Saccharomyces cerevisiae S288C: one gene and its partners. The gene in region 2 interacts genetically with the main gene of each other region. Each region holds a gene or a part of one and is shown on either strand. Other genes may lie near its edges.

The links.
Region 1: of ZDS2 (region 2) and CEG1, extra expression of one rescues a mutant of the other (dosage rescue), as found in Saccharomyces cerevisiae (2 studies listed by BioGRID).
Region 3: mutations in ZDS2 (region 2) and CDC15 impair growth when combined (synthetic growth defect), as found in Saccharomyces cerevisiae (one study listed by BioGRID).

The regions. Positions count from the first base shown.
Region 1 is NC_001139.9:264,096-268,348, reverse strand, and holds CEG1 (mRNA guanylyltransferase), read right to left. Parts: upstream 2,205-4,253; coding exon 825-2,204; downstream 1-824. Other genes in the region: mitochondrial 37S ribosomal protein mS29 RSM23, read left to right, coding at 1-626; DNA-binding E3 ubiquitin-protein ligase SNT2, read left to right, coding at 2,490-4,253. UniProt on the Saccharomyces cerevisiae protein: Second step of mRNA capping. Transfer of the GMP moiety of GTP to the 5'-diphosphate terminus of RNA via a covalent enzyme-GMP reaction intermediate.
Region 2 is NC_001145.3:50,042-55,560, forward strand, and holds ZDS2 (Zds2p), read left to right. Parts: upstream 1-1,598; coding exon 1,599-4,427; downstream 4,428-5,519. Other genes in the region: COQ5 (2-hexaprenyl-6-methoxy-1,4-benzoquinone methyltransferase), read right to left, coding at 1-913; YML108W (uncharacterized protein), read left to right, coding at 4,752-5,069; PML39 (Pml39p), read right to left, coding at 5,224-5,519. UniProt on the Saccharomyces cerevisiae protein: Acts as a negative regulator of polarized growth via an alternative mechanism to ZDS1. In heat-stressed cells appears to play a role in localizing BCY1 to the cytoplasm. Seems to interact with, and down-regulate, CDC42. Also acts as a suppressor of PKC1.
Region 3 is NC_001133.9:171,442-177,434, forward strand, and holds CDC15 (serine/threonine protein kinase CDC15), read right to left. Parts: upstream 3,695-5,993; coding exon 770-3,694; downstream 1-769. Other genes in the region: serine/threonine protein kinase KIN3, read right to left, coding at 1-262; seripauperin PAU7, read right to left, coding at 5,415-5,582. UniProt on the Saccharomyces cerevisiae protein: Protein kinase of the mitotic exit network (MEN) essential for late nuclear division in the mitotic cycle. Promotes mitotic exit by phosphorylating DBF2 and directly switching on DBF2 kinase activity.

The DNA of each region.
Region 1 (4,253 bases), on a different chromosome or scaffold from region 2:
AACCATTTGTCACATTAAACAAAACGAAAAATACAGTTTTAGATTTGTTATCCGTAATGACCCACCCGCATAATCGTGGAAAACTAATGAAAGCCATTATTGATGAGTTATCTGTCCAATCCAAGGTGCCAATCATGTTTACAGTGGATAATTTTTCAAAAGTGTTAACTACTGCATATTCTGCGTACAGAAATACAGAGAATAAACAAATATATTCCCTGGATTTACAAATGGGTAAATTGATGATGGACATTATTTCAGGAGAGACGAAATTTGCTAATGGTGAGAGTTCTACTATATTAGCTATATCCGGCGTTGACAGGACAAACAAAACTTTACCCGTGGCATTGGGCAAGATCCCAGTAGACCCCTATGTTACTAGATATCACTATGAACCGAAGTTCGTAGAATTGCTCCAAAAAGGTAATGTCACCGAATTCGAGGTTCCTAAACTGAACAAACAGGAAGTTAACGAACTAATCGATTACTACAAACAATCAAATGTTTTATTAGACAAGGATATCACAGGAAAAAAGTGGGAGAACTTGATTGACGAAAAATATTTCCTAAGTGGTAACGGTAACCCAAGAGAATTATTGAAAAGTTTAGTCCTTTCCCATAGGTGATAAGCATGCGCATATATATACATGTATATGCGTATATAACACTTTCACCCTCGCTTCTCAAAATTCTCCCATTTCTCATGTACATATAAATAGATAACTAACTGAATTAATTTAGCAAAAGCAATTGCTTTTGCTTTTCTATCTTATTCATACACAAAATTCTTACACCGATATATGTCGATACGAACACTTCTTAGCCTAATCCGACCAATCATCCTCGTCTACATATTTTGGCTCCTTATCATTACTTGGGGGCTGTGAATGGACTGGCTTAGAGGTAGATAATGTCGCATTTTGACTTTGAGACGGTAGTGGTCTCCCACTACCACCAGCCATATTTGCTCTTCTCTCGTCCCAGCACCTTTTAATATCACCAACAATTTCCTCGAGGTCCTCCAATGAAACTGAATCGTTGATACTCTCCAAAACTTTCTGGACCACCGATGTATGATTACCATTTAACTTATCATCCCTGAATCTTAACATTTCCCACGCCCCAGTCTCTTGGTTTTTTGCGCACTCTACTATTCTACCATTTAATGGCTGTTCTAGGTTCTTCAAATTTTGCCATTCCTCATCTGAAACGCTCAACTCTGCAAATTTTCTGTATGTTCTTTCTAATATTTCAAATTCCTTCCTATCGAAAGGCTGGTCGAAATGTTTTAAACGTGAATTGACATCAGCTCCGCCTTGCCAGACATATAAGCTGAAAACTGGCTTAACGTCATAATTGTAATACCACCTGTTCCGATCATCTTTAGGCAAAGAAGGATCCTCCACCATTGGGATATCTAAAATCAATTTGAAGTCCACGGTGTTTTCTTGTTCTGGCTTCCATTTTAATAACAATGAATCTTTTCCGCCGGCAGTGTAAGGTGCCTTCACAGGAGTAAATATCAGACCATCAGAAAGATGTGGTAGTTTATCTAAACTTTTAGCAACTTTTACTAATTGGTAACTGAAATCCATATGTTTCATGGAAATTTTGAACGGAAAAGTAGTACAACGATTAGGGTACGCTGCTCTTAAATCGAAGTATGGTTTAAAAAATTCTTTTCCAAGGTGGGCTAGTCTAGAACTTGTTGGTGATTGTGTGAGACATCTACCATTGATAGCAAGACAATCGAACATTAAATAACGCAACTCTTGTAATTTTGTCATTGGGTTAGTTTGTATGACAAGTTCACCATCTAATAAGGTGCCATCTTGAAGAGTCTCTAGCAGCTCTTCTTTCTTCTTTTGGGGTAATCTGGGAAACCTAAATCCATTAACCAGATAATAGTTATTTTCCCTATCAATCATAAAGCATCCTTGCTCACCCGTCACAGGATTTATCACTATAAACATCAACACCCGCAGACCATCTGTTTTCTCACAAACGTAGTAATCATGCGCAAGCAGCTTCTCTTCCACATCAGAATGCTGAAAGGACACAGGCTGGGAACCAGGGAATGTTTTCGTAGGTTTTGGGGAATTCAATAATTTACAGACCATCATCTTCAAGTCTTGCGTGACATTCCCAGGTTGAATGAGCCCAGGAATTTCCGGTGCCACTCTACTTTCCATTGCTAAAACCATATTTGTTAAATTAGCGGTCGATTCGTATTTGCTTATTCCGTTAGTTAGCTTTAGTTTAGATATAACAGATCGTATTCCACCATTTCTTTCGTTATTTTCTGCAATGAACTATTTATTATACTAGGTTACGCTTCGGAGCGACTGACCCGAACATCATGGAGAACTATATATATTTTATGATATTGCTTTCAAAAGGACTAAAAATAAAATGCCATCGAACTATCTGGTGGCAAAATTGGCCTATCGGGACATATTGAGATCATCTGCCTTTCAGCTGGTCACGCTATGCCTAAAGAAGAAGATTTCCAATTACCTAGAAGAAGAGAGGCTGCTAAAAACGTGAATTATAATGAAATGGAAATAGATACTAAATTAGTTCAACAAATACAAATAGCGGAAAAAAGTGGTGCTAAGACCAAGGGTAGCAATAGCCAAACTCCCAGGAATTGTAAAAGGACAAGCAATCCAGCTAGTAGAAACGAGAAATTCAAGTACCAAAAATTCCTTCATGATAAGAATACTTGCTGGAACTTTATCCCTACATTACCCCCTTCGTTCAGAAAGAATAGCAGATTCTCTAACATACTTGATCTAGATGATGCCATGATTGACTTGAAAAAGATGTCTCTTTTCAATACAGAATCTGTCCTTTTATCTGCGAACGACACTATTTATATGATATCAGAGCCTGCTGGCGAGCCTTATTATGTTGGCAGAGTTGTAAATTTTGTTAGTAAACCAGAATTTTCTAACACTATTCATGAAGCTATAAAGACAACATCGGTCTTCCCTGCTAAATTTTTTCAAGTTAGAATGAATTGGTTTTATCGTCCTAGGGATATTCAAGAGCACGTAAATACTTTTAACCCAAGGTTGGTGTATGCATCATTACACCAGGACATATGTCCTATTTCATCATACAGGGGAAAATGTAGTATATTTCATAAAGACGAAGTTTTTGATGTTCTTCCTAATGAGAAGGAATGCATTATACGACCCAATATCTTTTACTTTGATGAACTTTTTGACAGATATACTTTGAAATATTACAAAGTTTACAGCACGGATAAAATATTAAATAAATGGAACAGTAAGTCGCCATTTCTTTATGTTTTGAATAGGAGATTTCGTTATATCTATACAGAACCGAAGTATCCATTGGAGAACGTTTTGAAGAAATACGTTTTCCATGAACTAGAGGTAAACGAATTAAGTCCTGCAGACTACCAATGGGATAAAAGATGTCAGTTCTGTAAAGAATGGTGTATCCAAAAGGAGAGCCTTTCATGTGATGAATGCGGCGTTTGTGCACATCTATACTGTATGGATCCGCCACTTGACAGGAAGCCGAACAAAGACGTCGTTTGGACCTGCTTCAGTTGCTTACAGAAACAACAAGGTACTAAGGACTCGCATGTTAGGTTTCTAGAAGAACAAGCACTGGAACTGGATTTTATTCGCTCTGTAAGACAAAAAATTGAAGAAATTTCTAGCAAAGCTATCAAAGAGAATGTTGGTTATAATACCGAAAATTGCTGGTTTCAATACTTAGGAATATATTCCATTTCTCATATTGGTGACGCATTAAATGATTCTATGTTTTTTCCATATCCTTTCAAACCCTCTAGGGTAGGAGTGAAGTATCAATGGAACGGATGTAATCATAATGTGCCCTGGAGGCGGAACTCGTATATAAGTGCAAATTCAGAAGAAGAGCGAGGCTCAACGAAAACTTCGGAACTAGCATGGGTACTTGATGCATCAAAAATTACTACTCGAAAATTGAGTGAATATATTGAACAATGCAAAAGCGAAATATGCCCTATTCTCAATGTGAGAGGTGAGACTTGTAATTTCATTGATGTAGTCCTAAAGAATTTATTATTTACAAATTATGATACAGCAGAGGCATTTAAAAAATGTAAAAGGGAGCTTTCCAGAAAATTTTTGAAAGAGCCAAGTTTTACCGCCGTGGAGATCCGAAAGTTTGAGGAAGCTGTCGAGAAATTTGGGAGTGAATTACGCCCAGTGTGTGAGTATGTGGGCACT
Region 2 (5,519 bases):
TGCCCCAATGGATGGCACATATACCAAAAGTTAAACTTTCGTAGCCAGCAGATTTGAATCCTGCCTTCTCAATCATGGATTTGAACGTTTCTTGGTCAGGAAATCTTTCGATAGACTCCACCAAATACTGGTAAGAGTCGTAGTCATTAGCAATCATCGAGCCCATTACAGGTAGGACCTTAGCCCACTGTTGGTAAGCAAAGTCCATTAGGGGATTCTCAATTTTGGAAAATTCTAGACAATAAAAAATACCGCCCGGTTTCAAAACTCTATAAGCAGTGTTTAAACCCTTTTGAATATCGGTGAAATTTCTGATACCGAAGGAGACTGTGTAGATGTCCTTGGAATCAGAATCAATCTCCTCTAGTTTCTCACCATTAGAAACCAAAAATCTCACACGAGGATCCTTGAAATATTTTCCTTGTTCCATGGCTCTCTTCTCACCTTCTTTAAGCATGTCAGGGTTGATATCTACAATATCCATTGTAGACTCAGTGTCACCAAATTTCGACTCAGCATGGTCTAGTAATCCGAAAGCAATATCACCGGATCCCCCAGCCACATCTATGAAGTTCAAAGGAGTCGTAGAGTTTGGCCTTTTTCCCGCATCTAGTTTATTGATAAAATGGTCCTTCCACAATCTATGAATTCCTAATGACATAACATCATTCATCAAGTCATACCGATTGGCCACGGAAGAAAAGACATCACCAACTAACTTCTGCTTGGTAGACTTCAATACAGTCTTCGAACCAAAATGCGTATACTTCTGCTCTGGCTGTTCAGCTGCGGATGATAAAGGACTATTAACTTCTTCTTCTTTGCATGCTCTGTGAGCTTGCGTAAAACACCTAGATAATCTTAGCGGGACATTTACCAGCGAGCTTCGAACGATCCGTGAAGAAATCAACATTATATCTTTCTTGCTGCGATCTGTACTATTCCCTTTGCAATTGTAACAGCAGCTGTATAAGGAGTGAAGGTGGCAGATATCCTTATAGTTTCTTGTGTGATCCTTTTTTTTCCACTTTTTCAGTTTTTGTCAAATGCGGAAGCTAGTTTCCATATTAGGGAAGAGCAGGCAACAGGGCAGAATCCTATACGGAAAGACTTTCATTTAATGATACATTTGCCAAATAACTGTGTTCCAATATCGAGAACAGAACTATCGGATACCTTGATATTTGCTCAATGGTGTCACTTCCCGTTTTTGACATGTACTCTTCCCAATTCAGAAAAATTCTCGCACTTTTCCCACAGAGAAAACCGCAAAACTCAGAAATTTAGGCTGTGTATCGCCGATAGTATCACGGCCGGTTTATGCTTGATTTGGCTGCAAAATGGTCACATTGGACCTAGAAGTGGCCTTTTGTAGCTAATTATAAGTGCATGATTATTGTGACCAGTAACATTTGCTGACGCGTTGTGCGGGTAGCACACGCCGCGTCTTATTTTTGTTTTCATCTCATCTTCGTTAGATCATAATAATATGATTGAAAACTGGAGTAAAACGCTAAAGAACAGTGTCAAGGTTAGTAGTATCGTATACTTTACATTGATCACGTTTGCACTATAGACTGAATTTAAATTAGAATTTTATGGTACTGATGGAAGATATGCAAAACAAAGATGGCCATAATACTGTAGAAAACAGTAGTGGTGGTACGGACAGTAATAATAATATTCAAATGAGGCGAATGAGGAAGACACAGCTGTCCAAGAAGGAGCTTTTTGAGAAGAGGAAATCTGACGTGTTAATTGCTGCCAAGTCTTTAGATACAGAAATTCAGAATGTGAAAAATTTGAAGCGATTGTCGATTGGTTCAATGGATTTGGTAATTGACCCTGAGCTAGAGTTCAAAGTGAACAGTAGAAACTCATATTCTTCAGATTCCTCAAAGGAATCCCTTCAAGAATCGCTCCATGAAGAGAACATTATACGATCAGAACAAAAGGAAGAACAAGGGAGCGAAGACAATGATGCATATGAAGAGGGCGATGCTACTAATGTCGACGACAGTATAGATATCACTCAAACAGAGTATTTGCATGATGAAGAAACATTGGAGAAGGAAAAAATCATCCGTAATGCTTCTTCATCCACTTCATCTTCAGCAAGAGTAACGTCGAGGAACAGAAGGCTCAGTGGAGTAAAGACATTGGCTCACGATGTTGTATTGGATGTGGAGAACGACCACGATTCAAAAATGGTTGATTTAACTCAAAACCTTTTGTGGGTGCCCGCTGACCAACATCCTAACGTTAAGCCCGAAAACTATTTGGAATTGATCCAGGACACTTTACAAAACATTCAAATAAGCACAAATCAAGACATTGATGAAAACAAATTAGAACTGGGTAACAATCATGTAATTTCGAATAGAAAACGCACGGGCTCTGTAGTTAGAAGGCCTTCTCGGTTGAAGACATCTTATACCAAGTTTGATGACGAACCTCCCCTTGCAGACAAACCACAAGAAGGAGAAATACAAGTGGATAAGCGAATATCCTCATCTGACATCAAAACCATAAGATCTGTATCTTTGAAAGAAATTACTGAAGAGCTTACTAAGATTTCCAATAATGCCGGTTTAACGGACTCAGATGCGGTGACTTTAGCCAGAAGCTTGAGCATGTCAGGGTCATTTACCAACGAAAGTCTTCATTTGAACGGCAATCACACTGAAAATGATAACGAATTTGCATCAAATATGTTTAATGAAACTGGACTTACCATACCAGAGAGATCTTCTCTAAGGAGGTCTAAATTCAACACATATAAGATCAGACTAGAGGGTAGTAGCCTTCCACAGGCGGTAAAACTCAATAGCCTAATGAATATACAAACTAATGACAATCGCAGAAGTGCATCATCGCCTGCCTCCTACACACAAGTGCCTCAGGAGCAAGCATCATTGAATGATTTTCACGAGATTTTCGACCATTACAGAAGAACAAGTACTGATTGGAGTACCGAAAATGAGAAATACGTTGATAGCACCAACTACTATTCGGATGAAGAAGATTTGACACATGCATCTATTTCTCAAGAGAGCAGTCTTTTATCTACAGATAGTTCTAACAACAGCGTTTTAATAAAGCCGCATAACACTGGTTCGATGATTTCTGAAAAATTGGATCAGCACGTTAGCTCGAGTGAAAAATCAAATACCAATAACAGCGAAGCAAATCATGGCTGGTCATGGTTGAATTCTAGCAATGGAAGTTTGAACGCTAATGAACAAACTTATCAACAGCTTACAGATGATGAAGACGATGAAGAATGTGTGGACAATGAAAAAGCTGACTTTGTTAACTTGAGTGTATCGAGGAGAGCGAAATCTACCAAACGTGCCTCTGAAAGAATAAACCATTCCAAAAATAGACATTCGCCAATTTTCCAGATACATTCTGAAGAAGCAAAATCCGTGGTAATCACTCCTTCAGTCGTTTCTTCATCTGAATCCCAGCCATCTAAGCCTACTGCACCGGCAGTCGTGGAGAAAAAGGTAGAACTGCCTACTGACACCCAAGCCAGTACACATAAGAAAAATTCCTTGGAGAAAAGGCTTGCCAAATTATTCAAAAGAAAACAACATAATGGTACCTGCAAATCAGATGTGAAAGTAATCAAAAAAAGTGTTAAAAAAGAACTGAAAAAGAAGGCTTCGCATTCGAGTTTATCAAAATTCAGGAAAAGTCCCAAGAAAAAGCCCCAAGAAGCGGAAGTTGAACGCCCTTCATCCCCCACCAAAACAATTACCACCGAAGATATAGATACAGCAAGCGTCATTGAACCAGAAGTGAGAAGTTCAAATGCTTCCACCCTTCTTCCTGACAGCCATACTAGCCACAGTTCTGAATTTGTGGTGGAAACTATAAGCGAGTTAGATGGCGACGATTCATTTGATATTAGTGGTGGTGATGTAAACTACGACGTCGAAGTGCACTCTAGTATCAGTAGAGATACGACAGCTGGACTAGAAGAGGATATAGGAGCAGAGAGAGAAGACAACACTTCACCTACTGCCCCTCAAATCTCAACTTTGCCTCCAAGAAAATTGACATTTGAAGATGTCGTTAAACCAGATTACTCAAACGCTCCAATAAAATTCACAGACAGTGCTTTTGGATTCCCATTACCAATGATAACCAACTCTACAGTGATTATGTTTGACCATCGTCTAGGAATTAATGTTGAAAGGGCTATTTACAGACTCAGCCATCTGAAGCTTAGCGATCCCGGGAGGGAATTAAGACAACAAGTATTGCTAAGTAACTTCATGTACTCCTACTTGAATTTAGTCAATCATACCTTATACATGGAGCAGGTGGGCACTGGAGATATAGCCTTCAATGGTGATTCTGCCTTGGGAATGATGGACAAAAATGATTCTGATGGCACAATCTTAATTCCAGACATTTAACTCATAACTGTTTACAAGATTGATAGATACCTATATAAGGCCACATATTTCAAGTATTGTAAGGATGCCCTTTTAGTGTCAAACTTCTTATTATCACGAAAAACGTCGTCTTTTCATGCAAGGAAGGACTACAGTATATACATATAAATATATATTTATGTAATTATTTTTTTCTTTTTTTTTAAATTTTCTAGCGAGAATGAAGAAAAGCCGACCTCATCTCATCCTATTTGGAACAAATTCGAATGATCTGTCCAATACAGCAAGGCTACCTTGCGGTTGAATTCTATCTCGTACTACACTAAGACGAAAGAGAAAAACGAAATGTCCAAGAGTAATACTTATAGGATGCTCGTCTTACTAGAAGACGACACCAAGATAAATAAAGAAGATGAAAAATTTTTGAAAGGTAAGCCGGGAAAAATGCATGAATTTGTTGACGAGTTGATACTTCCATTTAATGTTGACGAACTGGACGAATTAAATACCTGGTTTGATAAGTTCGATGCCGAAATATGTATACCGAACGAAGGTCATATCAAATACGAAATTAGTAGCGATGGTTTAATTGTACTTATGCTAGATAAGGAAATTGAAGAGGTTGTCGAAAAAGTAAAGAAATTTGTCGAAGAGAATAACTGAAATAATGATGTTGCTTCGGTTTTTTGCATGAATATAACGTGACTGTTGCGTATGCATATGTGCACGTAATTTAAAGAGAGAGTGACAGAATCTGCGCATCAGCATGGGGGCATATACAAGCATATGAGAATTTGGATAATGTATTACATCTAATTTATAAAGTTTGTAGAACAGCCTCTAATTTATTTAGTCTTTCTCCCACGCCCAATTTCGTTATTAGTTTGTCCTCCTTGCCGATTAACTCCAGCAACATTGTGGGCAACAACTCTTTGTTGTAATACCGACACCATAGAGCGTGTCCGTTAAATTCTGTATATTCTAACTTCTTCAGGGATGCTCGATGAAAGCAAGCCGTGCATTGAACCAGATCATCCTTCTGGAATTTCGTGTAGCCGAGAAGCAACAGACCTACGAGAGAATAGTCTTTACAATCGAAAAAAAATGCCAATT
Region 3 (5,993 bases), on a different chromosome or scaffold from region 2:
AAAATTCTACAATATTTTCATGCTTCAACTGCGATAGAATGCTACATTCAGCGATCAGCTGTTGTCTCTCTTTGCTATTCATATGGCCATATTTGATATCCTTTCTAACCAAAAGTTTCTTGGTAGGTATATGGATGACTTTTCGTACAGACCCAAATGAACCTCTCCCAATTTCTTCGAGAACTTGGTATTCTGACCTTGGTGGGTGTCCCTGCTGCTGCTGAGGACTACGGTATTCTTGGAAAAACTGTCGTCTATGCATACTCACACAGAGAATTGATTCAATTATCAAATAGCACTCTCATTGAAATTAGTATTGTGAATCTTGCTCTTTTCATGTTATATGATTTGATATTCTTTTGAAAAGTCGCTTTTATTTACGTTTAACCTAATTAGGAAACGTAATGAAAAAATTCAGAAACCTTAAAAAAAAAACTTGGCTGTAACCTATCGGAAGACTGTGCCACTGCAATCATGTCAGATATCGTATTTCAGATTTATTGATCTATAGCTAGAAACATTTAACAAAATGCACTTTGAGTCGTTCATACATTTAATCCCCAATTGAAAAAAAAAAGAAAAGAAAAAAAGCATATATATGTATATGCTTTTTTATCATTACTGGCCTCTTTAAATTCAAAAACTTTTCTGATCTCTTTTCCAAACAGATGCGTTTTCAGTATTGGAAGGTTCACAATTCTATATATAGTGTTAATGTAATGCTGTATTATTTCTCTATATATGTATGTATGCACATGCAATTCCTACATTATGTTTGAAATGTTGTAATGGGGACGGAAAAGCCGTCACTTTTATCTTTGGAGGATCGCAAATTACTACGCTCATCTTTTGTTGGAGAACTACCAATTGCTGCAGTGACGCTTGAAACTTTTTGCAGGCTTCCTTTTTTTGATAATGAACGGATATCCTCACATAGCTGACAGATCAAAACTGAGTCCCCCCCAACTTGATTTGAATTCCTTTTTGGGACATCCTTGTTCCAGTTGTTGTTTAAAAACTCCGTTATTTGTACTAAAATGGCACGAAGTTTGAAAACAGTGGCCTTATTACGACGATTTGGTTCGGTTTGCTTTATAGGATCCGGCTGTCCTGTGTAGTCATATAGCTTCAATAACGATTTTGAGAATATTAGCTTTATGAATTTCAATAGATCGATTTGAATAAGTAAACTGTTGAAATAGGTATCAAAGAAAGAAACAATCTTTTCATAAAAGTTCGGGTGAAATATGATATTAATTGTAAGGTTTTCAAAACCGGGCAATGAGCATATCTTCGTGAAAATGCTAATTAGTTTACTGAGGTTAACGTCATCGTCATTCAATGCATAAAACAGGTCAACTAATTGATCAATCGGTAATTCAATAGCAGCGTCATTGTTGACCTTTATGAGGAAAACACTATGAGACTCTGATGAGCCCACTGTAGGAGCCACATCATCATTTACATTGCGTAACGTAAAATGCAAGCAGTTCAGTATGATCTCCAGTCCACTTATGGAGGTGTTATTCTTTTTTCTGATGAAATTCATAGCTGTAGAAAATAAAGAAGCACTCATTTGGTCCATATCCAAACTCATTTCAACGCATATAGCAGTGATTTGTTTCCAAATGAAAGCTGCTGTCTTTGCGTCGTCGATAAAGGGAATGATGGTATCAATATTCCGGATAAAAGCAAAAAAAGCATCGTTGTCAAGCAGATCATTTAAAAAAGTGCTGTTTATATGTACTGTAAGGTAACAAAGCTTGGTGAAGTACTTTAAAACAGATAAATCTTTGATTTGGGCCATGTCAACAAAAAAAGATGTTAGCCAGGTAAAGAAACCCTCCGGTAATTCAATTAGTAGTCTTGATTTTGAAGATATGGTCAGATGGGGAAAGTTTGAAATGCTCTTGTGTCGCATTGGAGAAGAGGGACGCGTTGCCATCAAAGAATGAACAGGGGACCTTGATGGAGACTGTACCGAATTCACTGGTGAGTTCCTCGTGGGTGAGGAGGATAACGGTAGAGAGGAAGAAGAAGGAATAGCGGACTTGTGTATTTTATCGTCATTCGTGGTTATCATATAGTTTATTGATTTGAAGACTACGTAAGTAATTTGAGGACTGATTAAAATTTTCTTTTTTAGCTTAGAGTCAATTAAAGAGGGCAAAATTTTCTCAAAAGACCATGGTGCATATGACGATAGCTTTAGTAGTATGGATTGGGCTCTTCTTTCATGGATGTTATTCAGAAGGAGTGATATATCGAGGTGTTTGAAACACCAGCGACACCAGAAGGCTGTGGATGTTAAATCGTAGAACCTATAGACGAGTTCTAAAATATACTTTGGGGTTTTCAGCGATGCAAAATTCGGAGGATACATTATTCCACATTCAATTAAAGTCTGAGGGTAGTCGATGACGAACTCTTTGGCTAAATGTTCGAATTTAATGATCAGTGGAATTCCTCCCATAGCGATGAATTTCAGTCGCAACCTAGAGTGGTTATGCTGGGTATCGTAAACAAAAATGGAGCCAAATGCAGTTATTAATCGTTTATCAACAGTTGTGCGCGACAGACACTCGATAATTGTATCAGCGATGTTCTCGAGGGAGCAAACACTGAAAAGCACATGCAAGTCCGTCAAAGGCTTAGATGAACTCTTCAATTGGCTCAGCAATTGACTTTCAGTGGGGGGCATTAAATCTAGTTCTTGATTGTTTTCTGCCCAGGCAGCGGGAGCCGCTGCAAGACTGAATTTAGAGGGTGATATATTTAGTTTCTCTTCTTGAAAATCGGCATCCCAATGATAATCAGCGTCGGTAAAGTCCTCCTTGAACTTGTTGAGCTTGTCGACCTTCACATTTTCGGTAGAGTTGATCCACACATGCTTGAGTAACTGGTCGGCTGTCGGCCTCTTGTACATGTTTTTCACAAAGCATTTAGATAAGAAATCCTTTAGTGGCTCAGAGAAAGAGCTAGGTGGGTAGTAGGTATCATTTTCAACAGCGTAGTAGATATTGGCGTCTGTCAAATTGTGGTAGGGTGGATTCTTTGTGAGCATTTCAACTACAGTGGCACCTAGAGACCAAATGTCGCTGAGCGTAGAAGCTCCCCTGTTGCCCAGGATCTCTGGAGCCATCCAATTGAGTGTGCCCGCTAGCGTTAAGGCGCTGGAGTTCACAATAGTGGAAACGCCAAAATCAGCAAGTTTGACAGTGTTATCAGCACTCAGCAGGATGTTAGCCGCCTTGATGTCCCTGTGGATGACTCCTTCACCGTGTAAATATTTCAGCCCCAATAGTGTCTGTGTCACATAGGTTTTCGATTCATTTTCACTTAATCCGGTAGAGCTCCTTGAAATGAGCCTCCTCAAAGAACCATTAGCGCAGTATTCGAGGAGGATATACAATTCATAGCTTTTTCGTATGAAGCCGTGGTATTTAACAATATTGTTATGGTTTAAATTTTTTAACAAGCTAATTTCTGCCATAATGTCATTAAGTTCCTCATCATTTTCGTACACGACCTCCTTTATTGCCACGACTTGGTCAGTATGTTTATTAATGGCTTTGTAAACTACCCCGTAAGAACCCCTCCCAATGACCTGCTTCAAGTGGTATTGCACGGATTTCTCAGATGCCCTCTGGATGGGAGTCAAGTTGACTCTATCGGTATCGGCCATACTGTTCATGGTATAGTCTTACCAGGAAAATGGGTAGTGCTTATGTGTGTTTTGTCCTTCCTCGAGCCTCCAAGTAGAAGATATACCTTTTGTGAGGCAGATCTCCCGTATACAAAAATAACAGCAAGAAAAGCGGAAAGACCATCGCAAGGTGGAAAGGATTATAATGGCACAGCAAAGTCCGCACAGAGCACTACAGTATAGCATAGAGTGCTAATGAGTTGATAGGCCCAATTTTGATTATGCCTCTTTTCCATACACGACGCCAGAGGACATTATTACATTACAGTAGTTCGCCGCTAGATGACAAACGACATCCTTACCGATATGAGATGTGCAAAGCTACATAATGGCAACAAGCGTTATGAACAGCCTTGTCTTTACGACCACAGAAAAGCCGTATTAGAGCTCTTCAGCTGCAAAATTTTCTTCTAATATGATGCAAAGCCATCAAAAATCATGCATAGTTATGAAATACCTGATGAAACGCTTCGAGTTCGTGCTCAAGAAATTACTGAAAGGTTACCGAGAAGAAAAATATCTATGAGACACGATAAGGCCCCTTCTGAATCCATTGTCCTGGGCTTGTTCATTCTATTTACCACTTAAAATTGATCCTTTCAAAGGAATTTTTTTCTATTTCCAATAGTATATTTGTACAAAAACTACAAAAATGGATAAAAAATAACAGTAATTTGTGACTACTGTAAATATCACTGATTTGGATTTTGTAATGAGTACTGCTCATGCCCATGCCGATGCAAGTGGATCATAAATTTTACTAAACGATATTCGATAATGCGCCAAGCCTTTATAAGGAACTCAAAATAACCCATATGGACAGTTTCAGAAGGCCAAATAACGATCAAGGACATTCACTCATGTTTTTCAAAGGCGAAGAGTGTAAAATTTTCTTCTATATAGTTCGAATATTTTATCTTATAAATTTCAGTCGTCATTTTCCACATTCGAACTCAAATAATGATAAAGAACGCTGCAGTAATGGCTTAAAAAAACATACTTTATAACCCATTATCTCTTACGTGTAATTTAAAATTGTTTATAGTACTATTTGGTTATGCTTGTATGCCTCTATTATTTACTTGATCTTTTTATGTTTTCTTATGATTGAATTATTTATATTCTAAATTCCTCACGAATTTATACTGAAGATTTCCTTCCAGGCGAGAATAATAAACACATATTTATGATGATAACAAGACGAACGTGTATTAAGCTCCCAGTACGAGGGAAGCAGTAAAAATTATCCCAAGATCCATTTAAAATGGATAACTCCACGAGCTACAACAAAATACTAAGGGAATAGGCCGTTATTTCCGTAAAGGATGGTTTAATAATAAGAAATTTATAATATTAATAATACATATATACAAAAATTTATATTTATATACATGCGCCTAACTATTCATACTATTAATTTCATATTATTAAGCTTTTTTTTTTTCATTTATCATTTTTTTTCGTAACCTCTCATACCTGTACAGGTTTCATTCGTAAAGCAGGGACTCTAGTTTGCGATAGTGTAGATACCGTCTACGGATAGAGCACTAGAGATAGCTGGCTTTAATCTGCTGGAGTACCATGGAACACCAGTGATAACTCTGGTAACTTGGTCGGCGGGAATACCAGTCAACATGGTGGTGAAATCACCGTAGTTGAAAACAGCTTCTGCAATTTCAACTGGATAAGTTTCAGTTGGGTGAGCAGCTTAGAAAGAGTAGTATTCAGCCAAATGAGCTCTGATATCGGAAACATAAACACCTAATTCAACCAAATTAACTCTTTCGTCAGATTGAGATAATGTAGTGGTTGCTGCGGCGGAGGCACCAGCAGCAATGGCGGCGACACCGGCAGCGATTGAAGTTAATTTGACCATTGTATTTGTTGTTTTTTGGGTTATTGCTTAGTGATGATATAGGCTTAACTGGAAGGAAAAGAACAGAGAAATGTCTCAAACAAAGCTGATCAAGCCGCTGTATTTATATGAAACTTTGAACAACTACATCTGCACACATGGGCTCTTACTGGTCGCCCATCTCACACTCATGCCTTCCACATTCCACTTAGCGACTAAGTCATTATTACTATGGGGACGGGTTGTTCTTGAACGATGCTATACTTCGTATAGGAAGCCGTTTTTTTATGCCCCATCCTTTCATATGTTCCATAGCACAAGAATGTTCTCTACAGGAAAAGTGCCTATAGGGCTGCAGCTGCAGTTTTGGCCAAGAAATAGAACCAAAGCCAAATTTATTTTGGGCCCTCGTTCAAGGGCCATCTCACCCTT